Regions from separate parts of the Mus musculus genome. Here all the other regions are reported to be linked to region 3. The links are microRNA targets in miRTarBase. Many come from high-throughput screens and were not tested one by one. Region 3 holds a microRNA gene; each other region holds the end of a gene's coding sequence. Distances are between the middles of the regions.
What was found. The annotated mature microRNA mmu-miR-181d-5p reads AACAUUCAUUGUUGUCGGUGGGU and lies in region 3 at 4,111-4,133, opposite strand. An mRNA with a match to its seed (bases 2 to 7 or 8) in the 3' UTR can be bound and repressed. Matches are read on the target gene's strand: a 7mer-m8 pairs with bases 2 to 8, a 7mer-A1 pairs with bases 2 to 7 and ends in A, and an 8mer does both.

Region 1: miRTarBase lists Lnpk as a target of mmu-miR-181d-5p. Seed matches in the 3' UTR shown: 7mer-m8 at 2,140-2,146, 7mer-m8 at 3,912-3,918 and 7mer-m8 at 5,168-5,174.
Region 2: the mRNA of Ap1g1 is a reported target of mmu-miR-181d-5p. Seed matches in the 3' UTR shown: 8mer at 4,590-4,597, 7mer-m8 at 2,838-2,844 and 8mer at 2,812-2,819.
Region 4: miRTarBase lists Spp1 as a target of mmu-miR-181d-5p. Seed matches in the 3' UTR shown: 7mer-A1 at 6,672-6,678.

Annotation. Positions count from the first base shown.
Region 1 is chr2:74,515,122-74,522,852 of GRCm38, reverse strand. It overlaps Lnpk (lunapark, ER junction formation factor), which reads left to right. Exons shown (of 13, transcript NM_027133.3): 13 at 556-7,731. The coding sequence ends at 794. Among named protein-coding and RNA genes, the nearest start is that of Lnpk, 60 kb to the left of the region's middle.
Region 2 is chr8:109,858,505-109,866,235 of GRCm38, reverse strand. It overlaps Ap1g1 (adaptor protein complex AP-1, gamma 1 subunit), which reads right to left. Exons shown (of 24, transcript NM_009677.6): 23 at 7,339-7,437; 24 at 2,026-6,142. The coding sequence ends at 6,041. It overlaps Gm17344 (a long non-coding RNA gene), which reads left to right. Exons shown (of 4, transcript XR_003947453.1): 2 at 6,205-6,363. Among named protein-coding and RNA genes, the nearest start is that of Gm17344, 6.2 kb to the left of the region's middle.
Region 3 is chr8:84,174,649-84,182,379 of GRCm38, forward strand. Mir181d (microRNA 181d) reads right to left here and starts at 4,139; the gene lies at 4,068-4,139. Nanos3 (nanos C2HC-type zinc finger 3) reads right to left here and starts at 1,904. Exons shown (of 2, transcript NM_001357361.1): 1 at 1,427-1,904. The coding sequence starts at 1,883. It overlaps Mir181c (microRNA 181c), which reads right to left and starts at 4,313; the gene lies at 4,225-4,313.
Region 4 is chr5:104,439,990-104,447,720 of GRCm38, reverse strand. Spp1 (secreted phosphoprotein 1) reads right to left here. Exons shown (of 7, transcript NM_009263.3): 7 at 6,668-7,492. The coding sequence ends at 7,103. Among named protein-coding and RNA genes, the nearest start is that of Spp1, 8.7 kb to the right of the region's middle.

The DNA of each region.
Region 1 (7,731 bases), not on the chromosome of region 3:
AAGAAAAATGATTTTCTGCTCAGTAGCCTGGGTGACTGTATGTTTGCTTTGTTTTTAGACTCTTCCTTGTTGTTCTAGTTAGGTTCCTCTATTGCTGTGATAGACACCCAAGCCCTGGAAGAAAGGGTCGGTCAGTCCATCATTGAGGGGCGTGGGGCAGGAGCTCAAGGCAAGAGGTTGGAGGCAGGAGCTGAGGCAGAGGCCACCGAGGAGTGCTGCTTACTGCCTTGCTTCCCATGACTTGCTCAACTTGCTTTTTTTATACAACCCAAGTTCACTTGAGCAAAGGTGGCACTGTCCACATCAATCAAGAAGTGCCCTGGGCACACAGGCCAAACTCATTGTGTATGAAATTATTAAAGTATGGGTTTATTTCCTTCAGTTATTTAGTTATACTAATTCTCTAAGTGCTATGCAATAGAGTGAAAATTAAAAGGTAATGTTAGACCATTCTGTCGTTTCTTAGTATGTTTGTATGTTTATCTTTGGCTTGTCTTATTTAGCAGTTTTGACATTTAGATATCCCTGAAATCTTATGTCTTTTTCTCTTTTCAGACTCTTTAGAAGAACAAGATGTTCTTGATAATAGTACTGAGCAGAGAGATGACAAAATACCAGTTACAGAGCAGACAAGCCAAGTGATTGAAAAAACATCTGGTCCAGAGGAGCCAGCAGAGAACCAAGAAGAGACTGAGAACGAGGAAACCTCAACAAACGAAGCCAAGTCACCTGTTCTCAGAGCTGATTCTGTTCCTAATCTTGAACCAAGTGAAGAATCTTTGGTGACAAAGTAGTAAATACTTCCATGTGCCTTCAACTGGATATTTGTAGTCTTGTTGATGTTAGTTACTGCTTTTTTTTTTTTTTTTGTGGTACTCAAGAAAAATTTGCCTTCTAGATATACGCTTAATATTATTCATATTCAGATTGCCCAGCAAGTTCAGTGTATCCAAGTACTACCACTAGGTATTGACAGTAAAAGCACGTGGTATCAGTTAATATGCAGAGGCATAGCTGTGCATTCTAAAGTTAAAAAAATGTTTTTTACATGTATAACTTGTAAATAATACCCACTTTGACATAGGAACAAATTTGGCTAGGAATAATTTCTTCCATAGTATTTAAGGGTTGAAACATAATTAAGATTTTGAATACTTCATCATTAAATTTTAACTTTGGAGATATTTGCCAGTGGGAAGGAAATATCTGTTTAGGTGTTTACACCAAGTAATGCTGAAAGCTGTAACCTTAATTACATACGCATTGGTACGAATTCTCAGTAAGAATGCAACTAAACAGTCAAGTGCAGTATTTCTCTTGATGTCTTTTATTTTACAACTGGGCCAAAGGCACATAATGTATATAGTTAATGTTTACATAGTAATAGGAAATACATCTGCACTTGACTGTACTTGAATTCTTGGTATTATTTATATTTGTAATATAATGATGATATATAAATGGTTTTTGTGTGTGTGTGTGTGTTTTGTTAAGGAAAATAAAGATGACCTGGCAGCGTTTTTCTTTGTTAAATATCTAGACTTCCTCACATAGTATGTTGATGGATGACTTGGCTATCTGAAAAATACCTTGGTAGGGAAAACTCACTGTATGAAAACTATATAGCAAATTATGATGTTTTTCTTTTCATTTAGACTTTCAAAATCAGTGACATAAGAGGTTTAGTGTTTCTAATCAGAAGTTAAATTTTTTCTGATTTTGAAACATATTATGGCATAGGTAGTTTTTAACTTTGAGAGACAAATAAATGCATTTTTAAAGATAAGACAGTTAAATTTAATGAAACTCACTAGACTGAGTATGTATACCAAGTATCAGGTGGGAAGATTTTTGATGTAGACTAGTTATTCTTAAACACAATATGATTATTTGTTCTAGTTTCCTTTTATGTGTCTTATGTTGAAACAACTGAAGTGAATTTACATCATAGGGGAGACATGTTACGATAGTGTTTCTGGCTAATCCTTTAGCTATCAAATGTTTAAATATACTTATTATCATTTAAAAGTTTATATTTATGAGTAATACCTCATCTGACATATATAAAAGAACCCAGTTTGTTAATATTCTGAGGCATTTTAGTGTAGTGCCTGTAATTGAAGCATGTGGAACTGGACTTGAATGTCAGCTTTGCAATCGTGGGCATTTCACCTAACCTCTCTGCATTTATTTAAGCTGTAAAATGAAAAGAATAATATGTTTTCCATAGGTACTGGGAAGTTAAAAATAAGTTATATGATGTGCCTAGCTTTCTTGCTAGATAATTAATTAATAGGTATTAGGTTACATGGTAGAATTTATTGGTATTATTGAAACCCTTGTGAAATATGGAAGGACCGTAGATCCTTTCTTTGGTAGATAATGAAATTAAAGAAAACTATGAGCATTCAATTTATTTGTTCTGAACAGAAATTTTCTGCATTAATGTCATATGCACGTGTCAATGATAGATTAAAGAAATGGAGAACTGAAACTAGAATATAATCTTTTTATAAAAAGATGTGTTTATTTTTATTTTATGAGTATAAATGTTTGACTTGCATAAATGTCTGTGTCCAACATGTCTTGACAGGTATCTGTAGAGGTCAGATACCTGGGTCATTTGAAATGATAGTTACAGATGGCTGTGAGCTGCCACGTGGGTGCTAGGGATCAAACTTGGCTTAGTCACTACGCCATTTTTCCAGCTTCATATAACCTTTTTTTGTTTGTAAATTTTACAAGGGGTGTGTGTGTGTGTGTTTGTGTGTGTGTTAGTAGCACCATATTAAGTCTTGTTAAAACATCTGATATGCACTGCTCAAAAATGAGTACCTCAGAGAAATGGGATTTAATGAAGAAACCAAGAAGATATTATAAAAACATCCCCCAAAAGGAATATAAAGGGGGAGCTAGAGAGGTGTCTCAGTGTTAAGAATGGGAACTGCTCTTACAGAATGCCAGAGTGTGCTTTTCAGCTCCCAGCTTGGGTGGCTTGCTCCCTCCTGTAGCTCTAGATCCAGCAGAATTGATGGCTTCTCCCTGGCCTCCTAGGACACTAGCCTAATGTGTACTCTCTTCCCCACAGATACACATAGTTAAAAATAAAAATCCAAATCTTAAAAGGAGCTTAGTAAAATTAACACAACAGGTGGGTAATTGTTGGTGTATTTTAAAACAAAATATTATTCTGATATAGTAGACAATGTCTGAAGTGAATGAGACTCCACATTTCTGATTATTAAGATTAGTGTAAATGAGGGAGAACTTCCCTGTTCACAAATGCTCAGCATGTCATTGTTTAATGTCCCTCTCACTGTGTCCTCAGTGTGGCCTGAAGACAGGGCTTAGCTTCTCTCTCTGTCTTTCCTACCCACACCTTTCTACTGTAGCTATAGGACTCTCGCTCAGTTCTGTGGCTATGCTTTGCCTTTTCTGCCTCAATGTCAGCTTCATTTTTCTCTGACAGAGAGAGCCTCCTCTTCTCTCTGTCTGAAGCTAACCCTTTTAGTCCTGTATCAGGTCACTTTGTCTTTGCTCTGAATTCTTACTGCAGGGTATCTTGTTTTCCCTCAACTGTCTTCACAATTTGCTTTTCTTCTGTCTGTATGTGGAGTGCCTGCTCATTTTTCATGTGGATAACGTACCAGATCCAGGGACTGCTCAGTGCTTAACTCATGCGCTTGCTTGGCAGATTGACTTGGCTGAGTGTTCTTTTTCTGAGACACCTTTATCCTTTAGGTTCTGCATGTGCACTGCTGTTACCTTCCCTGGCTTCTTGTTTTCAGCATCCTTTGAAGACTTCCTCTGCCATCTTTAAATGTTGATGCTCTCTGGCTTCCAGCTATTGTCAGTTCTTATTCTGTGCATTCATTCTCAAGCCCAGGGACTTAATAGTTACTGTCTGTCTATGAATGTCAGAGCTTAGTGTGGTCTGTTTCTTTGCCTTCGTAGCTATGTATTTACGCACCTACTGCCATGGCATAGTGAAGTCAGTATTTCTTTAAAAAACAAAACAAAACAAAAAACAAAAACCCCTACTTATTCAAACTTGTGTGTCATTTCACCAAATACCATCAGTATTAAAACCAGAATTTAAAATATATTCCCTCTTTCCCTCTGACTTTAAAGTATTCATTCCCAGTTTCTTCCCCCACATCCCCAGTAGAATATTGCAATATAGCCCAGCCTGGCTTGGCTTTGTGACTTGAGGCCTCAGATTCCTAGGTGCTGGAATCATTCTATGAGTTGCTGTGCCTTGCTCTCCTCTAAACATTTTACACTTATATTATTTTTCTATTTCTTTTGAATTATATTAATGATAAATCTGCATTGTTCCACCAAACAAATGCTACCTGCTGTATGTATGTGTGCTTACACACAATTTTGTTTTTGGGGGGAACAGTCCTGTGGAGATTTTGTATCTTGAGTATGGGAAAGAAACAGGATGTAGAAAGACTAAGCAGCCTTCCTAGAGGTCTCTATTGGTGTGTGGAAACGTCTGAGATCTGACTGTAAGCAGATCACTTGTGATGCCGTTGGCATTGAAGCCACAGCCTCATACATGCTAAGCCCTGCTCTGAGCTGAACTGTTTCTTCCACTCCCAAGGCCTTACTGTTAATCATCATTGTATTACCTTCTAATTCCTGCCTCTGTCACCTCACGGGATGAAAGCTACCTTTTAAACTCTGTCTGCGATCATGCTGCTTTCCTATCCATTCTGTGCAGTGGGTCCTCAGACCTTTGTGGCTGTCTTCAGTCTTTCTGTGTTTGAGAGAGGACATCTGAATTACTGTATTGACTGATAAAGTCCGGAGCAGTTGTCTTTCCAGTTGGCTCTCACAGCAACTTTTTTGCATTACAACTACTGTCGCTGCTCCCTCCCCTCCACTGCTTACGTCCTTTCAGTATACATAGGTTATTGTTTTCAGTGCTGCATATATGCAAAGTTTCTCCTAGTTGCCTACATTTCTCAAGCTCTTCCTCCTGAAATACCTCGTTTATGTAATAAATAGCTTATGTAATCAATAAATATATAGCTGCTGAATTGGAGTAGCACCGCTTGGAACCCAAGGTTGGAAATGTTATTATTTATTATAAACTATGAGTTTTTCACCATGTACTCATTGTACATATACATCTTCACAGTAGAATCAAGTCTGTAACTGAATGTGTTACGTGTGTGTGTGTGTGTGTGTGTGTGTGTGTGTGTGTAGGGAGAGAGAGGTAGATGGGTGGGGGGAGGAGAGATTGCTTTTAATTATGTAATGATTGTCATTAAGATAATATATGCTGAGTTCCAGAATGTTAAATGATTGTCAGTTTTAGGTCAGGGATACTTGGCATCTGAGCCAAGTCAGATTTAATGAAGGACTATTTATATTGTACCATGAATTTTCACTGTTTCAATATTAATACGTTCATGATTTCGTTAACAGGTTAATTTCTAACTGACAGTACCTACCTTAATTACCTACCATATACCATGTTAGCTTTTTGTATGTGTCACTTAAGGGTAGACTGAGGAGAACAGCTGTTTTGAGTGGTTGTGGGCAATGGAACTTCTCTAGGAAGTTAGCAGAAAAAATGTTTCTATGTGGTATAAAAATTGTAGATGACATTAGATACAGTTCCAAGTAATGATGAATCAGTGTAGAAATGGTTATGAATTAAAACCATTTATAATTTGACTTATTTCAAGTTTATTAAATTTCTAAGTGTTTTAGTACTATTGGCCATCAGATAAAAATATTCTGAAGTTAGACAAACAATTATAAATATGGAAAAATTGTGTCTTTGAAACAATGAAAACTAAAATGAGTGCAGAATTAAAACCTTATTGAATTGCATCAGTCTTTAGGCAATTAATTTGTCTCAGCTTATTTAAACTAATTGTCATTTTCTACTTTTTTTCAAACTACTACCTTTAACCTTCTTTAGGGCCCAAGAGACGGCCCAGCAGGTAAAGGTACCTGCTGCCAGGTCTAATGAGCTAAGTTTGATTGCTGAGAGCCACACAGTGGAAGATGAGAACCAACTCCCTCACGTTGTCTTCTGACCTTTGTGTGCCTGCTGTGGCACATTTGTGCTCCCCCCACCCCCCCCACACACACAAATGAAATCAATGTAAAAATAAAATGCTGTTTAATATTGGTGAAGTGGAGCTGAGAAAATTGTGTAAGCAGGAGGGCCTGAGTTTGTGTCTGCAGCACCTGCGTAAACGCATGGCATGGTTGGTTGCCTGCTGCTGTCACCCCATTACTAAGGGGTGGTGACAGGTGGATTCTAGAGCATGCTGGCCATCCCTGCCTTTTTCCCTTGGCATCAAAACTGATAAATGTTGGAAGTATTCTGAGAAGATTAAAAAGTGTTCTTAAAAACTTCCCTCAGTCCAGAATTCTGTGAAAAGAGGCCAAGTTTTTAGCTACTTGAGGCTTTTACCAGATCCCTGCCATTTGCTTTAGGAAAACTGAGAAATTTTATTTTCATGGAAATAAATTTCTTAGTCTGCTTTGCCCGGTGTTGCAGGCAGGATTGGTGCACACAATGCCGCTTGTTGGTCAGGCTTGTACTCTAGGTACAATCACACTATTAGAGTTCTTCCAGTGACTTCAGGGAGACAAGTGCCACATGTAGATGGAATTCATTTCCTAAAGCTGGTTTATAGAGCTGCAAATAGGATTTAAACATGGTGACTATGATTGCTTTCTTTACTATCTGTGTGCTCTCCTTTGCTAGCTTATGGAGTTAGGCTAAAGCCCTTCAGTTTCTCATGGTTGGATGGTATCTCACATGTCATTTGTATGGGAGAACCCTGGTTGCTTATTAGGTCTGCTTCTCAGTTCTCATGGAATATTGAACACAGACTATGTTTCTTAGTTATATCCTTCTTGATCTCAAACCAAAGTAAACCAGTACTTGGCACAGACATATTACATAAATAATCAGAAAGCTGGATTCCAGTTACTTAGTGGTGGACTTGCCTTTGCTAACTAACACACGAGGTTGGTGTGCTGTTTCTGTGTGAAGCTCCTATGAATGATGGATTTGGGACTAGAGAGGGAACAGTAATTGAGGGCTAGAATATATTGTTTTTGTTCTCTTGGTGCCTGAAACAGGGGAGCCTCAATAATATGAGTGAACTAAGCTGGAGATGACCTAAACACACGTGATGAGGTGGGAGAGTCGGCAGTGCTCAGAAGAGCCTGATACTTGGGTTGGGTTTAAGAATTTTGTGTAAGATCATTTGAGTTCAACAATCCTTTTCCTGCTTCTTATGAGATATGTAAAGATATCAGTCTAAGAGTATACATAGTACACTACACACACACACACACACACACACACACACACAGAGTTTCACTATGTATTCCTTGCTGACCTTGGATTGCTGTGTAGACCACGCTGGCCTTAAACTCACAGAGATCAGCCTGCCTCAGAGTACTGGCTCTGTACTGATTTTCACTTACCTGCCTCTAACCCATCTGATGCTATGACTGATGCTTAGAGCTTACTTACATTTCTACTTTTTGACATCTGCGTCTAGTGGGGCCTAGATACACACACACACTTTTATGCAAGATAATCTAAGACTATTTCCTTTTTCAATATATAGGTTAGCATATAGACTTTAAAGTTGGGTTCTTGCCTCAACGCAAAACAGAGCAAATGGAAATGGGTCCCGTGCTTTTATTAAGACATTTGGTGTGTATTTTATGAACTATAAGCTG
Region 2 (7,731 bases), 26 Mb from region 3:
ACAGATCGCATGTGACTTAATCACTTTGGTGTCCCAAGTCCAGCAATGAGTTCATTCTAGGGAACAGCAATGTTTTATAGATGGTTATCTTTTTCCTTATCTGGATAGTAGCCTACACCATCAATTTAAAATGAATCCATATGCTAGAAGCTAAGATTTACTACTTCAAACTGGCAACACCACTTATTAAAAAAAAAAAAAAAAATAGCCCAAGAGCACTGGCTCGGAAGGTCTCAGAGAATCAGTTTTTTCTAAGCAGCTACCTTTAAAGGTCCCCACTACTTCAGATCCAGTTAATCAGCAATAATCAGCTGATGTCTCCTTTTCAGATTATGGACTGCCATTAACATAGCACACTGTCACAAAGGTCACAATTGGTGCTCTCCCCCAGGTCAAGGCAACATGTATGCCAAGTGTTATGTAACCATCATTTCTGGAAATGGTGAACAGCTGAGACTAACCCTAAAAATAAATTCCTCTGGGATTTATGTATGTGTGTGGGGTGTGTGTGTGTATACACAAAACCATCTGCCATCACTGCAGGCTCCTCACTACCCATCATACTAAGGCAAAGAGGCATTAGCATCCCTCCTCTCCTTCCTATTGGGCTCCACACGCCCACTACCTCTCCAGAACACCGTCGAGAAAGAGCGCTAAGGTCAGACTATGTAGAGGAGCCTGGAAGTTCAGATCTATTTACTGATACCTAGCTCCCAATCTTTCAGTGATCACAAAGTCTTCGTTAGGCCCAACCCCAATGTTATGCTACCACAGGATAAGCAGGTCTAGGCGTTGTGTCCTCTGGTTCCAATGTTTACCTGATTTCAAAATTTGAAGGAATTTTTTTTCTGTTTCTCCTTTTAACGTGTGCCTGGGGCTTCATATAAGCTAGGCAAGAACTAAGCTGCACCTCCAACCACTGAACAGTTCTTCCCCCCACATATAAAGACAGCTGAACTGGAGGAGATCACAGAATAATAAGCCATTCATGTGATTAAAATTAATCTTGTAGTTCTGGAATGACATTTAAACCTATGCACAACCCATCGTACTGTTAAGTAAACATCTACTGTCTGTTTACTGTGGCTTTTATAGTTTCACCTAATTATATTTAGATTTCCATCAGTTAAACTTAAATACAGAAACGATGTATTTTAACTACTCCAAGTAGAAAACAAGTTTATAGAAATGTTATCAAACAGTGCCAAAGGGCACTGCTGCATAAAGGAGATAACCTACCCAGGCCCACACCCTCCCCCTCTTCAACCTGGAAACTGTCATATCTTCTTCATTCTCAATTAAGGGAATGTTAGGGATTGTGAGAGTCAAGAGAAAACCAAGAGCTTTCAACCTTCAGCAAAAAACTGTTATCAAGTTTGTGAAGATAATTTGCCATGCCAGCATGAGGACCTGAACTCCCCAAAGCAGGTCTAATGTAATCACAGCCCTGGGGATGTGGAGACAATAGCCACCCAGCTTTGTCTAATGGGTGAACCCCAGGTCCTAGTGACTATTTCAAATAACAAGCAGAATGGCTCCTGAGGAACAACACCTTTACAGCAACAGAGGCTGCCCTTTCACCTGCCTCCCAAGTAAAAAAGGAATTCACGTGTTATGCAAAATAAGCCATGGAATGTCATTCATTTGGGCTAGTTAGGCCTTTCTCTATCAAGTCACCAAAACAACTCACCAAAATCAACCAAGCAATCAATCAAACAAAACACGAACCCTAACTTATAATAAAACATGGGTACCCTTGCTACATAGTTCATCATAGTGGCTTCAGAGCTTTGAGGATTCGCCTATGTGGAGAAAACAAACCTGACAGTAACTGCATTCCAGTTAAATGTCCACTTGCTCTTTGGACTTTTCTCTGTGTAAAACATCTACAAGGTTTTTAAATGTTTCTTCTCTAGGTGAGATTTCTGCTCAAAGGAACATTAAAAGGCTCGGTGTAGCTCAAAGCTTTGGAATAAGAATTCATCTTGGGCTTCTGATTCACATCCAAGAAGCAAGGCAGCAAAGTTTAAATCATTGAGTATTGACTTTTTATTATTAGTCACTGTTCATAATTTGTTTCAACCAAAAGACAATACACACAGCAGAATCCGAATGCATCCCATGTAAATGTTTACATCCATGTTATTCCTCACTCGCCTCCAAGAGACTTATCATTTCACTTTAAAGTGTTTTACATCTCAAAAATATGTCTGCAATAATTAGAACTTCATTAGCTGCCCCACTTGGAAACAGCCTTTTAATAATTTTACAGTAAAGAAGATGTGATGGGGCCTAATGAAAACCGTAACTTACAACATAGTAAAAGGAGAAGGACGATGATACAAGAACACAGTGGGGTTCACAAAGGAAGGAGTGCAGAAGCCCTTTCCCATGAGGTCCCCCAAATAAAATAAAAACAAAACACACAAAGCGCAAATGCAGGTCTTTAAGGGGAGAAAGTCTCCAATGCTCTGTCTTGAAGCCAGGAGCAAGAAGCAACTGCTCAAGCTGCTTCAAGCCGCTTCAGCTTTTTCTTCTGTTTAAGAGTTCCAGGTTCTGGGACTGGAACCTTGTCCATGGGACCCACTCTCTGCTATTGCTTGAAAAGGGTTTTCACTTTCAGTTCCACAAACAGCCCCACCCTCCCGAGCCAAAGCTGGTCAGAAGTATTTTAAACTTCAGAACTTCCTGTGCAGTTCTCCCTTCCCCCACACCCAGACTGACAAATGCCCTCCCAACCACAAAGTTTGTGAATATGCATTTTTTGTTGTTGTTGTTGTTCTCTCTCAGTTTAGGGCTCTGTAGTTAAAATACATTCAGTAGGAAAAGAAAAATACACATTCAAACTCCTCCTTCCCCAAGTTTTCACGGCCGAAATATATTCCAATGTAGAAGAAAATAAAGTTGAACCACAAAAGCGGTATTCCCTAACTTCCAACATTCTCTAAAAGGGCGCAGAAATGAAAAGCAAGGTGTCATATGGGAGATGGAAAATTTCAAACTATTAGTGCTGGACAGTTTTAAAAGTCTGTTTTCATATGTGAGGGAAACAAACAAAGGTTAAGAGCCACACCAGGAACCAAGCAAGGAATACCTGTACTGTTACACTGAGGAATGTTGCTTTAAATGAAAAAACCAAAAAACAACAACCAAAAAAAAAACCAAAACACCTCGAAGTTTAACAGATGATAACATACACAGCAGAAAACCTCCATGACTCCCTAAACCATCTCAAGGTAACAGCACCAAAGCATTGTGGGAGAAGCGTGTACAGTTGTCTGAGATTACTTAGAGGAACTCTCCCTTAGGGTGACTCTGGGATGGGAAAGAAGGATGACATAAAAACTACTCCTCGAGGAAGGCGATGCTAATGAGGTACAAGTGCGTATAAAACTGTCAATAAGTGGGGCTCACTGCTTATCACCTTGGCTTTATTCAAAAGTCACAGAAATCACTCTCTTCACAAAGGCTCCGAGGTTGTCATATACATCCAAATCTGTTTCCTCTTGAAGGGTCACGTGTGGGAAAGGAATGACTGAAATGTGCGCGCGTAGTCACAGAAACGAAGAGATTCCTCCTTTAAGCTGCAAGGCCGAGTGAGAAGAGAACTAATGCTCCTAGAAACTAAGAAGGCACGCTGAAGCTTTCAAAGATCCAATCACAGGGGACAGTCTTCACAACCGTCAGCATCCTAGGCAGGCATCTGGCTGCTAGTCCGTCAGTATGGTGTTCAGGTCGTCTCCCAAATGAACTCCATATCTACACAGCACCCTTTGTGTTAAGGCCATGATTTTTTTTTTCCTTCTCGATAAAGCCATGGATGATTGTAAATGCTACCTCCAAACTCATCACCCGGGCTGAGGCTTTGTCCACAGAGGAGATCTTTCCAGCTCCATCGGCTAGCACTTGGTCTTGAGCAGATTTCTTCAGATTCAACTCAGTTCAACAACAACAACAACAAAAAGCAACCAAAAAACCTGAGCTGGTTAGCTACAAATGGAGAAAATAAAGCCTCCACACAAAAAAGGAATGTTAAGACAAAATTCTATTCAAGAAATCCACCAATACAGCATTAATCCTATCACGTTTCACAGCATTAACTATGCATCCAATGAAATCCGTCTGCAGGAAATCCTAACGGCTCCCACTGATCAGGCAGAGCGGCTGTCTAAAGTCTGCACTTGTCCACACCTGTTTTGCTGAACACAGGAGAAATATCCTGTTTGTAACTCAGATGTCCATTTACCCAGTCAAGTAAATTTCAGTAAATCTTGCTCTTACAGGACTATTAAGACCAGAAACTTTCCCTTTTGGAGCCTTTAGTTCAACTCCAGTTTGTCAATGTTAGGAATAGTCTAGCATCTGATACAGAGCTAGGTTTGACAAGACACTGAAGAATTTAAGTAAAGGCGTGGTGAAATGGAGCAGGGAGAAAGGGAGATTTGTATCAAGAGTTAAAACTGAAGCCAAAGTGTCGTCTTACTGCATAATACAGTAACAACTGCAAACGCTTTACAAGCAAGGGGGCCCACTTTTACTTTCTCCTGCAGTAAACTGGACATGATGCCTGAATACCTGAACATACATAGTACATTCAACGTGTACCACAGACAATCACCTTCACCTCATTCCAACAATTCAACATAAAGATTTGGTAATATTGGGGTCTTTTCTAAAAAACACTCGGCACTCTTACTGTTTAAAAAGCTCAAACCTTTAATTCGAATGTTCATGAGATTGGTTTCTTAAGAGACCAATTTCTCATACTCAGGAAAGGACATTCCTACCCTATGGTGACCGTAAGACTTGCTCTCACATAGGGGGCAAGGAAGCTACAAAGCTTCATTTCAACACCATAAAGTACAATGTGGGAACGATTTCTTTAACCGTGTGGTCTTTATTTCAGTGCCAGTGTTACAGATACAACACAAATGTTCCAGTTAGAAGAAGGAATTCAAACGGAATGCCAAGGTCCAAGCCAGGCTCAGGAAACTAAAAGGGAGGATTGGAGCAACGGATAAGCTGACTCCAGAGTGAGTCTGGGTCTGCTCTTCCTATGGGCCACGGTGTTTTGTGACAGAGTCTGCTCCTTAAGACTGAACTCCTCTTTTGACCCATTTACCACAGCTCAAACAGGCAAGTGACAGGCTTGGGAGAATCATTGTGGGGGAATAGGATCATTAATAACTATTCATGTGTCTTTTAGAAAGTATCCACTTTGCAATTTAATGGGAATTGATCTTGAAAATCATGGAGCGAGAACTCGTGACTACAGCTAAAGAACGAAGAGAAAGGGAGCTGGAAGAGCCTTGAAAGTTTCTATTACAAATAGAGCACCATATCCTTCATGCCAAATCTCAACCCAAGCTCTCTGAACTGCATCTGTCCAGTGTTTACAAACAACCTCTCAAGGTCTAACCAGCTTTTTTATATAACAAACATACATACATGTGTGTCTGTGTGTATACAGCAATGCACAGATAAGGCTCCAGGAGCCTAACACCTCTTTCAAACATCAGGAGAACCAGCAGAAAAGGGCAGAGCTCCCTCGTGTCCACTGTTACAATTCCATTCCAGACTTACGATGGAAACCAGCTAGTGAGGAATAAACACCCCACCTTGCCCAGTCCACAGAGATGCAACAGTAGAAAGTAGGGGCCACTCTTGACTGTAGAGACAGAGTGTTTGTTTTCTTGCCGTGAATCCCAGTCCTCTCCTCCAGGCCAGCTGCTGATTGCCTCAGTGGCCCAGAGAATGTTGATTCTGGCTGCAAATGTGGGAGGGGTGAAGTGCAGAAAAGGGAGGAGAGGAGGAAGAGTGCAAAGTAGCCTCGAGAAGCAGCCAGCCTCAACAGCGGAGGAGAGGACATTAGTCTTTACTGATGCTTCAAGGTCAGCAGTAACTTGAGGAAAACCCTCCTCAACAGTTCTCTCAGCTCCTCGTGCCCATGGTACAGTTGGGGGGACTTGCCAGCAATCACAACCTCCTTCCCAGAATTCCTTTGATTGAGTGGGATAAGAATGAGAATGGTGCTGCATCCTCATTGCCAGGACTGAGGGGGGAAATTGTTCACTTCTGCTAGATCTTGCATTGCCGAGCCCTTGTGATTATATGTGAGCTTGATCCGCATTCGCAGCTGTTGCTATAAAAGGGAAAGAGAACCATAAATTAATTCACTGAAATGAAATCTCCCTGTCTCTCCAGTCTACAAATGGACTACTTCTTGGAAACAGGGTTCCACTACGTTGACCAGGCTAGCCCCGAACCCTTCAGTTCAAGTGATGCTGATTCAAGCTCCCAGGTACTGAGGACTACCGGGCACGTGCTGCCATGCCTGGCTCCACAATGTATTTAATCCTAAAGGTAAATAGAGTGCATCCAAGGAACAGCTTGACTGGCTGTGTCAAGCGGCACAGAGACAAACAGCCAGTGCTAAAGCATCTGTCACTTAGGAGCCTAAGGATCAGCATCAAGCCATCAATAGGAGAGAACACACACATCTAGAATACCAAGTAGGTCTCCGATGGTGGGGTTGTGGGGTGGGGAAACAAACGATTTAACACTTTGTCCAAGTCTCTAGAAAAATGAGGAAACACACTGTCACAAGTTCTACATATGGGTCACCTGCTGGTTGGTTTACGAAACCCACAGTAAATATCATCAATGTTTGTATTTCTAAAGCATAAAAGAAATACCTGGGTACACAGGTAACAAGAATGGTTTTTTAAGAGTATTATACTTTCTGTGACAAATGTCAAATATAAAAACATTGTAAAAAGTTTTGATGCAGATATCAGATGATGAAAATAATGTGTGCTTGTTTGTACTAATGACATGATCAAGATACAAAAGAACTGAGAAAAGGCAAAGTAATATAAAAGGAAACAGCCAGAGAGTCTGAAAAGCAAACACTGAAAACCACACAGCTAGTTATGAAGCAGGACCAATTGATTTTATTGAGAAGATAATGTGAAACTCTTGCTAAATGGGTTTCTACTGTTTTCATTTAACTACTTCACTTAAAATGCTCCCAGTTTTGATAATCATACTAATTACAGCAGTAAATACGGATTTTTGATTTTACCTCTGATTTAAACTTTTGCTAAATCCTCAAAACTATACCTTTAACCCTCACAATAGAGAATTTTTAGTTGCATTTTAATGTCACTAATCTTTTTGATGTCCCTGAGCTTGGTTTATCTTTATAAAAGAACAAGGAAGTTAGACCAGGCATTTTCCTAGTTCTGAGTCAGAAACATATAAAACTGAAATGAAGATTTATTTTATAAAGTAATAAGCTTATATCGTTTACAGACCTGTTTCAAATGTACTACTCACCTTCTGTGGATTCAGAACTTTAATGACTTGTGTGATGGTCCCTGTATTAAAGGCTGGGACAACGCTGCTGCTAGGAGACAGAAGCTGCAGCTGGAATGTCTACAGAGGAACAAAGGGGACTCTTGAGAACAAACAGCAGTGTTAGGTCAAAGATGTCAGCAAGTAAGAAGTTAGACAGCCAGCAGATGGGTCAAAAAACAGGTTTCTCTAAGTTTTGCCCAGTGCATACATTCCAGACACCTACCCATGATATATAAGCAAAACATCACTCACTCAATTCAAGTCTCTGGTTGTGGGAACATAAAGGTGCCACTTTCCTGTCTCTAGCTAAGGGAGCTCTAGACTCACTTCTCAAAAGGTAACCCTCCTTGTTCTGGAAACCCAGCTTAGTAG
Region 3 (7,731 bases):
GCCAACAACCAACCATGGCCAGGGAGCCAGCTGACTCTCTGAGTCACCTTCAGTGGTGCACCCACAAACTTTGGGGGTCCTCCTATGGCGTCACAGAACTGAGGCCCGCAGAGCCTTTAGGCATGCAAGCACCTGCCATCCTGTATTTTGCTGGGTGATATAGACCTGAGCTACAAAATGAAGTGTTGTCTCAAAATATAGTAAAAGATGAAAACAAAACAGAATTGACAGGTAAAAATAACACTAGCACTGCCACAGAGGACCCTCGCTGGGTTCCCAGCACCCATATGGCCACTCAGAGCCAGCAGTAACTTGTTCCGGAGTTCACATACCATCTTCTAGACTGTTCACATATACATACATAAATGCACACAGGCAAAACATCTACACACATGAAATAAAGTTATCTACATCTCTTAAGGACTGGTGATGTGGCATAGTGGATATGAAGGAGCTTGTAGCCAAGCCAGACCATAGAACAAAAAGACAAAAACAAAAAACTAATTCAGACCCACCAAGCAAAATTTTTGATAAGGTCCTACTGCAGTCTCCCCATTCTGCCTCCCCAACTGGCTTCTTCCCTGCTGGCTGGGAGCTGGGCCTTGAGGCCCATGGCAGTTACCTTCCTGAGGCTCTGGAATCCCTTGTCCTGGTCTGATGCTTCTGCTAGAATTCTGATGAATCCTTGCCCTATCTCTGTGTCCTATGTCCCATGCCCCCTGCACTCCTCCACCCCCATTTGTGTGTGTGGAGGTCAGAGGACAACCTGAAGTCAAAGTTGGGTCTTCAGGGTTAGAGGCAGACTGTTTACTCACTGAGTCAGCCTGCTAGCAACCCAAACTTATTTTTTATGGTACTGACAGAGAAGCAAATTCTTGGTCTCGTAAACGCTATACACTAACTACAAACTTCCAAAAGTTAGATCCAATGATTTCTAACCACCCTACAGCACAGACCCATACCCAGTCACACTTCTCACCCCTCACCCCCCAAACTGAAGGAATTATGACTGCTAGAAGTCCCCGTCTCTGGGACCCCTCATCTGAACCAAGTGTCCCCTACTTAGCACTGTCTTAACAGCCACTCCTGCCTACCTTCTTCACTGCAGACCCCGCACCCAGTGGCAAACAGACATGAAATGTCACTTGGCAAATGAATAAATGATTTCCAGGTTCAGAAAGGATTATAAGCTTCCCTTTGTAAGTTTCACAACTCCTGACCCCCCAGGTAGAATCAGAGATCACCACATACCCCACAATATCTCTACTACCCTGTGCAATAAAGGAACTAAATATACCCTGCTTCATGCTCTCAGCTATACACTGTGGATTCCTTAGTTTCTAAGATACTGGCATCAAATACATTTAAACACCCCAAAAAACTGAAAGCCTTCTCCACCCAACCCCTAAACCACCTGCATAGACACCTGCTGCTGCTTCTCCTCCAAGGCGGTGGCCAGCATCCTGTGTCTTTGCCTTGTCAGGCCGGGTCAGCTTTTTGCCTGCAGAATTCCGGGTGGTGTAGCAGTAGACAGAAGTGTAGCCCTGGCTGGTGAGTGGGCAAAAGCGTCGAGTGTGGGCATGCTCCTGAGTGGCCCCACACTGGGGACACACATAATCCCGCAAAATGGGACACAGCACCCGCCCTGCCTCATCCTTCAGGACATGGGACTGATAGATGGCACGGGACTCGCCATTGTGTTTGCAGAATGAACATAAGCGTTCAGGAGCTGCAGAGGATTCCTTGCTGGCTTGCTGGCTTTCTGAACTTGGCTTGGGCTCTGGTTTGGGATCCAGCCTTACATCAAGCTCCTCTTCCTTATGCAGAGCCCCAACCAGTCTTGCCAGACCTAGGTAATCTGTCCAAAGATTGAAAGTCCCCATGGCTGGGCAGAGGAGCAGAGAAGAAACCCAACCTGGCTCCAACTTCCTTACTACCCTGAAGCTCAGGCTTCTTTGGCTACTTTCCTTTTACTTAGAGGGGGTGTAAAAGGGTGGAGCAGGCAGGCTGGGGGGGTCCCTCATTGTCACTGGGGGGCTTCCTATACACCTGCGCAGGGGGTATATGGTGTTTGTGTGGGCTGAAAGTAGCCAGATGCAGACTGAAGCTACTGACCGCCCTAGGCTTCCCCCGGGTCTCCTCCCCCTTCCTGTGGGAGGTTAACCCCTGTGAGGAGGGAGTTGGATGGCTAAGAATTCTGCCCCAGGGTTTAACACTAACAGATTTACTAATTTTTTTCTTCTCTCTCCCCTAAGGCAGGGGGTGGGAGGTGGGGGGTATCATGTGGCCTTGAGTTTCTTTCTCTCTTTCTTTCTTTCTTTCTTTCTTTCTTTCTTTCTTTCTTTCTTTCTTTCTTTCTTTCTTTCTTTCTTTCTTTCTTTCTTTCTCTCTTTCTTCCTGTATTTTTGGGGTTTTTTTGTTTTGTTTTTTTGAGACAGGGTTTCTCTGTGTAGCCCTGGCTGTCCTGGAACTCACTCTGTAGACCAGGCTGGCCTTGAACTCAGAAATTCGCCTGCCTCTGCCTCCCAAGTACTGGGATTAAAGGCGTGCAAGAAACAAGAAACAAGAGTTTCTTGTTAGGTGGGGTAATGCAGAAATCCCAATTCCTAGGAAGGAGGCCTGAGTGTGGAAGTGGGGCTGGGGGTAGGAAAATGACAACTGGGTCTCAAAGCTCTGGTTTCACTAACAGACTTTCATGTCCTGGAGAACTTAGTCTTGAGGTGTGAATTAAAGTAAAGAAAGAAGAAAAGAGAAAAAGAGTGTAAGTACGATAGAGAAGAAGAGAGAAGAAAACAGAAGAGAAGAAGAAAACAAAATGTCTGAATTATATAGGGAAGAGCCTCTGGGGGGGCGGGGGAGGGCAGTCCAGCTCCTGGGCTAGAAAGTTCAAGGTTGGGGGCAGAGTATGCCAGGTAGGGACTGAGGAATGCTGGGAGAACCTGGAGGCCAGGTCTGCTTTGATGTGTAAAATACGCACCTCAGTCCTGCAGTCTAAACCAAACAAAGAATGCTCCTAGTGGGTAGAGAAGTGGTTTGTTTTTGTAGATAAAAGGGACAATTACAGGCAGGGGCAGGGGCAAGGACACCTAGGAGTCTCCAGAGTGGACATGACCAGCAGACTAAGCCAGGCATGAAGGAAAGGGGAACAAGAAAAAGAAGACAAGCCGGGCGTGGTGGCGTACCCCTTTAATCCCAGCACTCGGGAGGCTGAGGCAGGCGGATTTCTGAGTTCGAGGCCAGCCTGGTCTACAAAGTGAGTTCCAGGACAGCCAGGGCTACACAGAAAAACCCTGCCTTAAAAAACCAAAAAAAGAAAAGAAAAAGAAGACAAAAGAAAAAAGGAGCATCTAACCAAAAAGGTTGGCCTATATATGAACCAGAGAAGCTGCAGGAAGGGAAAGCCCAGCCTAGTTCCTTGGCTAGAGAAGTTCAGGGTAAAGGACAAGATATGTCAACAAGGAGGACCCTGTTAAAGGAACTGAGGGATGCTGCGAGAACATGGCAGCCTGCGGCTTCAACTTTGATAAAGGAATAGGCACCTCAGCCATTTGTCCTGGGTTTAAGACCTTACCAAGTTGAGTTCCCAACTCTTCCCCCTCCAGTTAGCTAAGCAGCCTCAAGGTTACCCCAACCTAGGAATGCAGCAGGAGGGGAAAGAGCCTTCAAGCACAGGAAGACAAACTGCACTGGCATACCCCAGCAGGTGCCAGCCCCCTTATCTGACACCTGTCAAAGGAGCCTGCAGCCTGAGCTCAAAAAGAAACAGGAGTCACCACTGCTAGGACAGACTTCATTCCCGCTCATCCATCCACCTGCCCATGTATCTGTCACATGTTCATCTACCAGTTTGCCCACTGCAGAGCATCACTGAGCAAACATCATCCCCCCAGAGTCTCCCAATTTAGGATCTCCCCAACACCTAACCCTCCAGGGTTTATTTCCCAATTCCAATCAGCCCATCAAGATCCCAGACACCAGTCCCATTTCCCCAAGGGGAGTAAGTGACAAGCAAAATCTGAAGGGTTCTATCCTCTTTCCCATCCCTGATGGTGTTGTTTGGCCCAGCCACAGTGACATTCATCCCCCGGTGGGTCTGGCTGCCTCCTCACAACCCACCGACAACAATGAATGTTAATTGTGACCTTTGCTGTGGCCTGAGGCAGGGGATGCTGCCTGGGGCTCTCCCGGGTCTACAGGGTGGGGATGGGGTAGACGGGTGGCAGTTCCAGGCCTCGGGGTCCACTCAACGGTCGATGGTTTGTCTGAGCTGCCCAAACTCACCGACAGGTTGAATGTTCCCCCAAACCCTTGGCAAGTTCTTGGATAACTGGAGTTGGGAGAGTAGGCCAGCAAGGCAGAGAGCATGTGGGACGAGAGAGAAACCAGGGTCCCCTTTGACTCACAAAATCAGCCATCAGTTATTCTTTTTTGGAGACTCAGAAGAAGCAGCACAAATACAAACCATAATGTAAAAAACGCAGCCCCTGCAACAGAGATGATAATGTGCCTGTCTCAATTCATGTGCTATATATATTCAAGGGATGCATTCACAACTGATATCTCAGCACTCTGGAGTCTGAGGGTTGGGATGGCCTTAGTAAGGTTACAGGCTAACCTGACCTAAAGAGTGAATTCCTGATGAGGGCTAAGTACTGTGATAAATAAAATCCTCCAAAGCATTTCTGAGAGATACAAATTCCCCTCACTGGTCAGTTGGAAAGACTGAGGCCAAAATACAAAGTGGGGATTTTCTAGCCACCATTCTGGGAACTCGGGTAGGTCATCAGGTTCTGGTCTGGGCCTGGGCTAGGCATAGGGCAACTGAGCCGTAAACAAGTTACTTTTATACAATGTAACAGGGCTTCTCCAGCAAACTTGAGATAAATAAGGCTTTCAATATATTGTAAACTTTTCCACCTTCCCATGGTCACTAAACTTAGTTTGACGGTTTCTGAGACCACCACTGCCCTACCCAGTAGAGCAGTGAGCTGTGAAAGAAGGCTATACACAGACACACCCCACCCCCACCCAAAGGCTTCTAAATGGTCGGGAGGGGGAGTGCGGGGGGGGGGGGGGAGGCTTCCCTTTTGCTTTAACTGAGCTCAGAACACCTCAGAGAGGGAGAGGTGACCCTCAAGGATCTCCTGAAGTCACACAAGACAGATCAAGAACACTAAATGTAGTAGTATGCTTGTGTGAAACTCCTGCAGGGTTAGCACCGGCCTGTGCAGTACCAGGCCACCACTGCAGACTTGCCCTCCAATTCAGGCCTTTGACAGGGTTCCCTATGGCCCTCCTACAAACCATCCCTTTTAGATCTAACGCCAAACTCAATCACCTGAGAGCTTAGGTCCTACCCCCTGCCTAGCACCTCAGTGTGGTTCCAGGGCACCCCTAGAAGTTCCCTAGAAGTTCAGCTCCTTTTAAGGGCCACCCCTACCTACAGACCCAAACCTGGCCCCTGGCTCCAGCAAGACTTAGGAAGCACTATCTCCCGGTAGAGCCCTAACCCTGCTTCCTCAGCCCAGGGCCCGGTAACTGGTCACATTCCCAGCCCCAGGGGCCCTCTCTTTCTGGCCATGGATTAAGAGGTCCTGCATGGGAAAGGCAGGTCTCCTGCTTTGGTAGCTCTCAGCCCTGAGGAAATAAAGGTCTAGACTGGTCAGATGAAGATGAGCTGGTCACAGGCGCTTTGCACAGACCACCACTGTGCCCCTGGGGAAGGGCCTGCTGCCAGTTCAGAACAGTTTTAGGGGGTTCCTGAAAGCTAAAATGGAGGATTATGAGGCACACGGGACACTCTGGGCAATGCGGGCCATCTTGCAGACACCCCTCTTTTATTCTGTAAGTCCACTTTGCTTACTTCCCCTGCAGAACTCTGATTTTTGTCCTTTACATAATGGGAGGTGTATGTTAGGGGTATTCACGGCAGGACAGCCTGCCTGTGGGAGTTTGGCGGGGGGCGTGGCATGGCGGAGGCGCCAGGCCCCACCCCCTCCTGTCTCTTTGTCTGCAGGCGTGGTGCGGGCTTCCCGCCCTCAGTGTCTGTCTGCGCTTGCCTGCCCTTTGTCAGCGGGGGTCGACTGTCTGGGTCTGCCTGCACCCTCCCTATGTGTCTGTCCTTCTTCTTCCCGGGGCTGCTCCTTGAGGTTTTTGGCAGCCAAGCCCCCTGGTGTGTGAGGATCAGAGTCTTGACCTGAATTCCTGCAGCTAGGGGCTGATCATTTACTTCCCGCCATGTGTTGGTCGGCCTAGAGTGCTTGGGCGGGAGGTCTGACTTTGAAGTCCCTTAGTGTAAGGGTGGGAAACTGTCTCCTTCCATCCCCCAACCCCAGGTCCAGAAGCAGGGGCACTGCAGCGCAGAAGTCAGCTTGGGAATGACCTAGGTGGAGCCTGCCCCAGTCTCTCTGAGCAGCTGGCAAGTCCTAGAGGTCAGGTTGAGGTGAAATGCCAATCCCAGCCAGATGGGGGTAGCTCTACCATCAAGTAAAAGATGGGTTAGCTGTCTGCTATATTGTGCCCTGTGGTCTGCAGTGTTCAGTGTGCAATACCTGTGTGTAAATCAGCTGGGCAGAAGGGAAGAGTAGGTAGGGCCTGGAAAACAGTCCATTATTGGGGGGATAGTGACAGGACAGGTGGGAATCTCCATAGGGTCACATTGGTGGCCCAGGTTGTCTAGACCTTATTATTATTATTAATTATTATTATTGCCATACTTACACGACTTCTGAGATACCCACCCTTCCCTCCTAATCTCAGGAGCTTCTCAGATACTCGGGTCTTTCAGGGGGCTGGGGAGTGGGGGGGGGGGAGCTCAGACAGGAGCTCCTATGTACTATAAGTAGGCCAAAAGCCCCAAATTTCCAGGCTGTCTGGATGTGAGGCCAGGCCTGCAGATGAGTGAGAGGGGTCTGGCTTCTCCTGGGTCAGGGGCTATGATCAAGGAAGTGATGGGAACTCCAGCTACTCCTCTGAACTTCTTTAACAAGGAGCAGAGCGGTCCTGGGTATGCATCACGGTGGGCTGTCTGCACAAACTCATTTGTCTGCTATATACACCTGTTAATGGATTGGAGTAGAGGTCTGCTCTAGACTACTCTGCTGCTAAAGGGAGCTCAGGGGGAGGGGAGGGGACTCTGGGGGGGGTGTACCATAGTTGGTGGCACCACTAGTGTATTAGTGTATATATGCCAATCCTATGGGCTTGTTTATGTGTGATGTCAACACTGTAGGTGGATGGGTGTGTCAAGCTCATTGTGTCCAATTGTGGTCTATGTGTGCACAGATGTATGTATGGATGCGGGGTTTGTCAAGAGTAACTGGGTGACTATAATCTGTCAGCTGATAAGGATGGTGTCTTTCAGGGCCAGTCTCCCACTCAAATACCAACTCTGTTAAGGCAGGGAATTCACTGTGAGTCATAGGTGTGTCCCATAATAACTGCTCAATAAGTGTTGCTGGACACAGTGGCTGTAGAGCCTATCACCTCTGTACCTGGCAGATGCAGGCCAATCTTAAAAAAAAAAAAAAAAAAAAAAAGGCTGGGCATGGTGTTGAATGACTTTAATAATCCCAGCACTCAAGAGGCTGAGGCAGACAGATCTCTCAATTTGAGACCAGCCTGATCTATACATAAAGTTTCAGTCCAGGCAGGGCTCTACATCCCAAGACTCTGTTTCAGTAAAAACAACAAAATATTGCATTTTTGACTCTACCTCTGAGTGTCCTTTCC
Region 4 (7,731 bases), not on the chromosome of region 3:
GACCATTGTAATTTTCTGTTAGGAGCAACCTCTTTCTCTCAGCACTGTTGTGCGATGTTGACACGAACCACTTCTCATGCATTGAGCCTAGCACTCAGCAGTGGTCATTCCTGGAGTCCATTTTTCTGTTGTGATTTAGGAAATGGCTTTCTTTCTCTTTTTTTTTTTCCAAAATATTTTATTTTATGTATGTCAGTATACTGTAGCTGTCTTTGACACATAGAAGAGGCATGAGATCCCATTGCAGATGGCTGTGAGCCACCATGTGGCTGCTGGGATTTGAACTAAGGACCTTTGGAAGAGCAGCCAGTGCTCTTAACCACTGAGCCACCTCTCCAGCTCTGAAATGGCTTTCTAACTGTGTCATTCTTTCTTCACATTTTGTTAGTTGAGTTTACCTGTTAGGAAGTGTTTATCTTCTTTTATTCTCAGTGTGTTTTAGTATTGTGGCAAAAGGGTAGACAGACAGACAAACAAACAAACAAAAACAGAACAGAAAAAGCAAAACAGAACAGAACAAAACAAAAACAAAAAACCATAAAAACTGTATGAAAATGAATATATTTGAAAGAAGCCCTTTCCCTCTGGGCTTCACACAACAAAACATGCCCATGGAAAGCCCCTGTTTTTCAAAGGTACGACAATTGAGTGGGGGGTGGGGTTGGGGGTGGGGGTGGGTTCCCCAGTGGAGGAATTGGAGAAGGGACTGAAGGAGATGAGGGGGTTTGCAGTCCCATGGAGGGAGCAACAGTATCAACAGGCCAGACCCCCCACCCAGAACTCCTGGGGACTGGACCACCAACCAAAAAGTACACGTGGAGGGTCCCATGCCACTGACCACATATGTGGCAGAGGATGGCCTTGTTGGATGTCAGTGGAAGGAGAGGCCCTTGGGCCTGAGAGTGTTTGATGCCCCATGTAGAGGAACAGTAGGGCAAAGAGACAAGAGTGGGTGGGTGGGTGGGGGAGCATCCTCATAGAGGTGGGGGGTGAGGGTGGGATAGGGGGCTTCTGAAGGGGAGACCTAGAAAGGGGAAAACACTTGAAATGTAAATAAAGAAAATATCAAAAAAAACCTTCTAAAAATAAAATAAAATGTGCTCTCTCTCTCGTGCGCACACACACACACACACACACACACACACACACACACACAAATTAGCCTTTTCCCAGTGATTTTGTCCAGCTATCAGCTTAGCATTCCTTTTCTAAATCCATCACCCTTTGGTCGGTGATCCTGGAGCTGGATCCTGCAACACACTTGCTCTGCCAACTGGCACAATGACACTTTGTCAGTAGAGGGCACTGGAGGGACACTGCAGAACTAACTAGCTCTGTCTGTCCCTGGTGTCCTTGTTCTTAAAGCAAGACTGGTTGCCTCTTAGATACGGCATCCAGCAGTGCGCACTGGAGCACCCACCCCCAGACACCCTGCCAGCCTCAGTGTGCTGAAGCCCTTCTGCCAGCAGACTGTTAGCTTCAGCCCACCAGCTGCCAACCAGTCCAGAAAAAACCCTGAGTAAACTTTTCTGCTCATCTGCTGGGCTGCAGCTACAACCTTTCTAATGAAGACTTTTAGGGAAGAGAACCTTCTTTGCAAATTGTTCCTTATATGGGTATTCCCATTCCTATGGCTATCATTAAGACTAAGTTCTGTCTTTTATTAACACCTTCTTTCTGGTAATTAATTTTTGGTATAACAGTCTCCCTGTACAAATGGGTTGTGTGATTTCTACCCCCTGCATAAGCCCTGTATAATGGAGAAACAGAATGGTCTTTAATTGTACCAGAATTCAAAGTTCTGATTGTGGGGTTAAGTTGATGATGCCCTTGAATTTCAGCATGTGCTGACAGGAAACAGGCTGCTTGCATTCTATGGTACGTGGGGATGACACAATTAACTTGTGATTGTTAGGGGTTGGCTGTGATGGCAAGAGAAGTGAATACACCAAGAAGTTATGAGTCGCTTCAGTTAACCATGGATGTCACAGTGATAAGGGGTTGTAGTCTTATACCCTAAGTGGCATTCCACACCATCTCTACCGTACAGTAATCTCCACATGAGTCTGGGCTATGTCTGACCTTAATATTTTGTTTCATGGATGTTTAGGTACCAGTACTACAATGCTTTTAGAGAGTGTGTATGTATGTGTGTGTGTGTCTGTGTGCATTAGAGGAGGAGATAAGGAAGGCAAATTCTTCCTTACTTCTGTTGCTTCCTTCTAGAATTTTTCATTATATTTTTATGTGTTATTTTCCACATCAACAAAAATTAGCCTTCATAGTCCTAGGGGAAACATTTAGTTTTATTTATTTATAGGATTTATTTTTTGTGTGTGTGTCTATGTATGTGTGCTTGCATGTGTTTATGTGTACCATGCATGCGCAGTGCTTTCAGAAGCCAAGAGAGGTTGAGTCATGAAACATTGTGAGTCGCCTCAGTGGTCTCGGTTCTGGGAACCGAACCCAGGTCCCTAGTTTTGTTTTTTATTGAAATAATATTCTATTTTATATTACTCGGAGGAAATCAACATATTTTGGGATTTATAAGTCCCATACAAAGAAATGCCACCTCTCTGTTCAATCATATCATTTTATCATTTTTCCCTCCTTTCTTTCTTTCTTTCTTTCTTTCTTTCTTTCTTTCTTTCTTTCTTTCTTTCTCTCTCTCTCTCTCTCTCTCTCTCTCTCTCTCTCTTTCTTTCTTTCCTTCCTTCCTTCCCCTAAACCTTTCCTATGCTACCTCTCTGTCTCTTTCTTTGTCCCTGCCCCTCTCTCTCTCTTGCTCTCTCGCTCTCTCTTCCTCCCTCCCTTCTTCTCCAACTCATGGCTTGTTGTTATAAATGAGTGTTATCTCTCTCTCTCTCTCTCTCTCTCTCTCTCTCTCTCTCTCTCTGTGTGTGTATTCCTAAATATATAAATACAGCCTCCTCAGTTGCTATAATGTTAATTGTATGTATGGTTTCAAGGCTAACCACCTAATATTGAATGACTCAAGGGCTCTTCTCTGGGGACGATGATCTCTCCTGCTTTCTGTGTTCCTTAGTTACATGTAGTTCTTTGGTTAGCATTTAGGGGCCATGAGATTCCCCCTCCCGTGTTATCGTGTCTGTCTGAGGGTGTTGCCAGTGTTCAGGGCTTGTTTAGGCAACCATGCTGATGAGAGTTCATGGGTACAGCTTCCCTGACGACACCTTCTTACAGCAGATTTCCTGGTGCTCCAGTTATTGCAATCTTTCTCTCCTCTCTTCCTCTGTTGGGAGCTATTAAGACAACTCTCGATCTCTAAATTGGGCCTCCCCCCCCCAGAAGAAAAAAGGGGTCAAAAGCGGGCCACCGACTCATGGATTCCGAGAACTATGGGATGTTCCAGCCCTGGGTCATCACTGCTCTCCTGACCACACCCTGACACTACCAAATTCCTGCTTCCCTGTGTAGCTGTCAAAAGAAAGAATTTCTATTGCCCCCCCTTCCCATAAGTACTTCTCCTTTTGCTTGTATTGCCCTACCCCTCCCACTGATAAATACCTCTCCTTTTGCTTGTATTGCCCTACCCATCCCACTGATAATTTATCTGTACTTCCCCTTTTGCTTGTGCATTTAAGCCTTGGACCTTTCTCAATACATCGGGGTCTTGATACAGCTTCAGAACGGTTTCCGTGTCGTTATTCGTACAAGACCCTCGTCTCTCTCTACCCCCCATTTGGTTATTAGGAGGAGGTCCCCTCGAGATCCTCGAATAACTGGACCTGCTGGACGGGTCATTCCTCCATGATCCCTGAGCCTTAGGTACAAGAATTGCATTATAGATGTATCAGCTGAGACTGGGTACCACACAGTCACAGGCATTGTTTTGCATTTTTGTAAGTTGTGGTTTTTTTATAGTGGTCTTCATCTGTACCCAGGAAGATGTTTCTTTGATGGGAAGTTAGATTTGTAATTATCTGTGGGTTTAAGAACACATAGTTAGAATGTTCTTAGGGATTGTGTTGGTTTAGTAAAGTAGCAGGTGTAGGTTACCCCTCAAGATCCATGACTTCACTAGTCCTGTTTAACTGGTTAAGTTTCTAGTATTGAGCAGGATTTACTTCTGTGTGAGTAGGCCTTCGGTCTAAGTAGAGAGCTATTTGTTACTGTCAACATATGCTCACTACTAGTTCACCCTTAGTGATATTGTGCCACACTGGTTGTTATTTTAGTTCACAGGCTGCTACGACTACTCCAGTGCAGTCTACTTGGTAGGCCTAAAGCCTGAAAGTAGTCATGAGGCAATGGGTTTCATGGAAACAGCCTCCTGGAACCTTGGCATTCTCATAGCCCATATACTCAAAACCTGTCCCTGCGTTAGTCTGGTGTTTGGATCCGTGTGCTCTCTTTCAGTATTATTATTATAAGTACCTTTAAGGATTGATTTTTGACATAGCTAAGCCTCTATCAGTGTTCCAATGTCCTAGAAAATCCTTGAAGCCAACTCTGAGCTTGGAATTCAGTAAGAAAGTTATCTATTCAGTAACATTCAAATTCACTTCTAGTAGAGACAGTGAAACTAATTAGGCATTACTATTTACTGGAACAGAGCTAGGAAAGCTCAGGGCTAGTCTGCATAGCAATTACTTAGGACAATAGCTGAGTCACACCCAAACACAGATATACACAATGGCCTAGGAAATAGGTGGGTTGTCGCTTGAAAGAGTAGAAGGGAATTTCCCTGGTGCAGGTTTCTTCACTGGGCCCAGAGGACTAGCATAATCAGGTATTTACTAAAGAACTCCTGGTGGTGGGTTTAACAATAGACTAGGGTTGCATCAGGCCATTCACCTGGCTCCAGTGTTCAGCTGATCTTTTTAAGTGGTAAATGTGGCCTGGCTCCCACCATCTTTTGATGTATGCATTCTTTTTGTTTTGTGTCAGTGTAAACTTGGCGGATGTGTTTGCCTAAATTTCTTGTTTTTCTTCTGTATTAAAAGTCTGGTGTTCGTTTGGACAAAATACATTCATATCCAGCACACTCTCTCGTGTCTGTGTCTGTCAGTTCTTGCCAACTCCACGTCCACCTGCCAGAGCCCCTGATTCCCATGGATTGAGGGGGGCCGACTGAACCTGGTCCGTGGCAACAGGCCATCATGGCTTTGCATGACATTGCTTCTGTCCCTTGGAAGCTTGCATGGTACCTTCTGGCTTAAGAGCCAGTCCTTAGGGAGGAGGTTTTCAGGTTAGATCCAGCCCAACTGTCTGGGTCCTATGTCTGAAGTGCATGGTGTCCTCCAAAATAGGGACTTTTTTATCTTCAACCGTTGGAAGGAAACCAAGGGCCACAGCAATAACCTATAATGTTTTTGTTTGTTTGTTTGTTTTGTTGGGTGTGTGGGGGGTGTCCCTTGGACCATCCAGACCAATAACTCAAAGGAAGTTTCTTGCGCTTAGGCTTGAGGATTTGATAGTCTGTAGCTCTCACGGAGAGCATCGTCAGCCCAGATGGGAAATTTTCACTTAATCTAACTCTCTCTCCTCTCTCTCTCTCTTTCTCTCTCTCTCTCTCTCTCTCTCTCTCTCTCTCTCTCTCTCCCTCCCTCCAGGTGTGTGTCTGTATGTGTACATGTGTATGTTTGTGTGCATATGTGTGTCTGTATGTGTCATGTGTGTATATTTGTATGTGTGTGTTTGTGTGTATGTCTGTGTGTGTGTGTGCATTACATATAATTTTATGAAGGTAGATAGTAATAGGATTCTTTATAACCTTTGCAGACATCCTCACTGGTATTATACCTACTTCCTTCTGGATTTATCTCAGCCCCTCCCTAATCACTGTAGCCTGGCATCCATGTCCCTATTACTCCCCAACATTCCATTTCCCTCTTTACTTTCCTGGTTTCTGCAGTGACTCCAGACTATGCATTTACATCTGAAGCCTTGAAGCTAGGAGCCACAGATAGGCACCCATAACATTCATTTCTCTTGGTCTGGATCACCCCTCAATACTTTCTTTTCTAGTCTCATTCACCTACTTGCAAATCTCATGATTTAACTTTTCCTTTAAAGCTGAACAGCATCCTATATACTGTATATTTGTGCCATATTTTCATTATTCATTTGTCAGTTGAAGGATATTTAGATTGTTTCCATGATTTCTAAAAGGGAAATCTAGTTCTAAAGACTAAAGTCACATGTGGCACTACAATATTTCTGAAAGTTCATATTTGGATGAAACTGAGAACGTTGGTTTTCAATTGAAACACACACACCACACACACACACACACACACACACACACACACACACACACACACAGAAGCACGCACACATTCTTACCTAAGAATTACTAGAATAGCTAGAAGACAGACACAAGGTTCTATTAGGGCAAGAAAGCCACACATTTACTGAGCAAAGATGATAGAAAACATAAACAATCAACTTCTAATTCCATTCAAGTTTCAAGCTTTTGCTCGCTCATATATTAATTAGTATATGTCATACTTAGGTGAGAATATTTCCTGAGGGAGCCTTGTAGGTTCTGGCTGCTGTCAACTCCCGGGTAATCTGTGTTCCTCTGACCATTAAAACCCTAAATGGCTTTAATTAAACTGGGCATGTCCATTGAAATGGTTATATTTTAGACATTACAAAATAATTTTGAGAAACTAATAAAGAATAATTGACACCACCAGACTCCTTACATTCGTTACAAGATTTATTCACACCAACAAAAAAAATAATCACAACAAAATATATGCTAATTATAAAACTAAAAGGGTATAGTGATATAGACTGTTACAGTTTCTCTTTTAATTCTGCTTGTTTCAGTAAATTTGCTTGTTTCTACATACATTTTATTCATAAAAGAATAACAATCATTAAAATGCAGTGGCCGTTTGCATTTCTTGTACAGGAAGAACAGAAGCAAAGTGCAGAAGCTTTTGGTTACAACGGTGTTTGCATGAAACAACAGACTAAGCTAAGAGCCCAAAATATTACCTCTCTTTCTCTACATACATATATCCACTGAACTGAGAAATGAGCAGTTAGTATTCCTGCTTAACCCTCACTAACACTTTTTCTTGTTTTTACTAAATGCAAAGTAAGGAACTGTGTTTTTGCCTCTTCTTTAGTTGACCTCAGAAGATGAACTCTCTAATTCATGAGAAATTCGGAATTTCAGATACCTATCATCTTCCTTACTCTTAGGGTCTAGGACTAGCTTGTCCTTGTGGCTGTGAAACTTGTGGCTCTGATGTTCCAGGCTGGCTTTGGAACTTGCTTGACTATCGATCACATCCGACTGATCGGCACTCTCCTGGCTCTCTTTGGAATGCTCAAGTCTGTGTGTTTCCAGACTTGGTTCATCCAGCTGACTTGACTCATGGCTGCCCTTTCCGTTGTTGTCCTGATCAGAGGGCATGCTCAGAAGCTGGGCAACAGGGATGACATCGAGGGACTCCTTAGACTCACCGCTCTTCATGTGAGAGGTGAGGTCCTCATCTGTGGCATCAGGATACTGAATCAAGAACAAATTGAAGAATTATATAAACAGACAGGAACAAGAGCATCATAATGCTTTGATCTCTAACTTTTAGGTCAAACTGTACTGAATATTTTTAAAATTTTGACTGAAGAAAAATAATATTAGTGTGTACTTTATATTTCACCAGTCAGCTTCATATCAATCATTTCTGGTTTAATAGGGATATCATCTTTGTGTGTGTTAAAACCTATAAGGTTCTATCTCTGATGAAA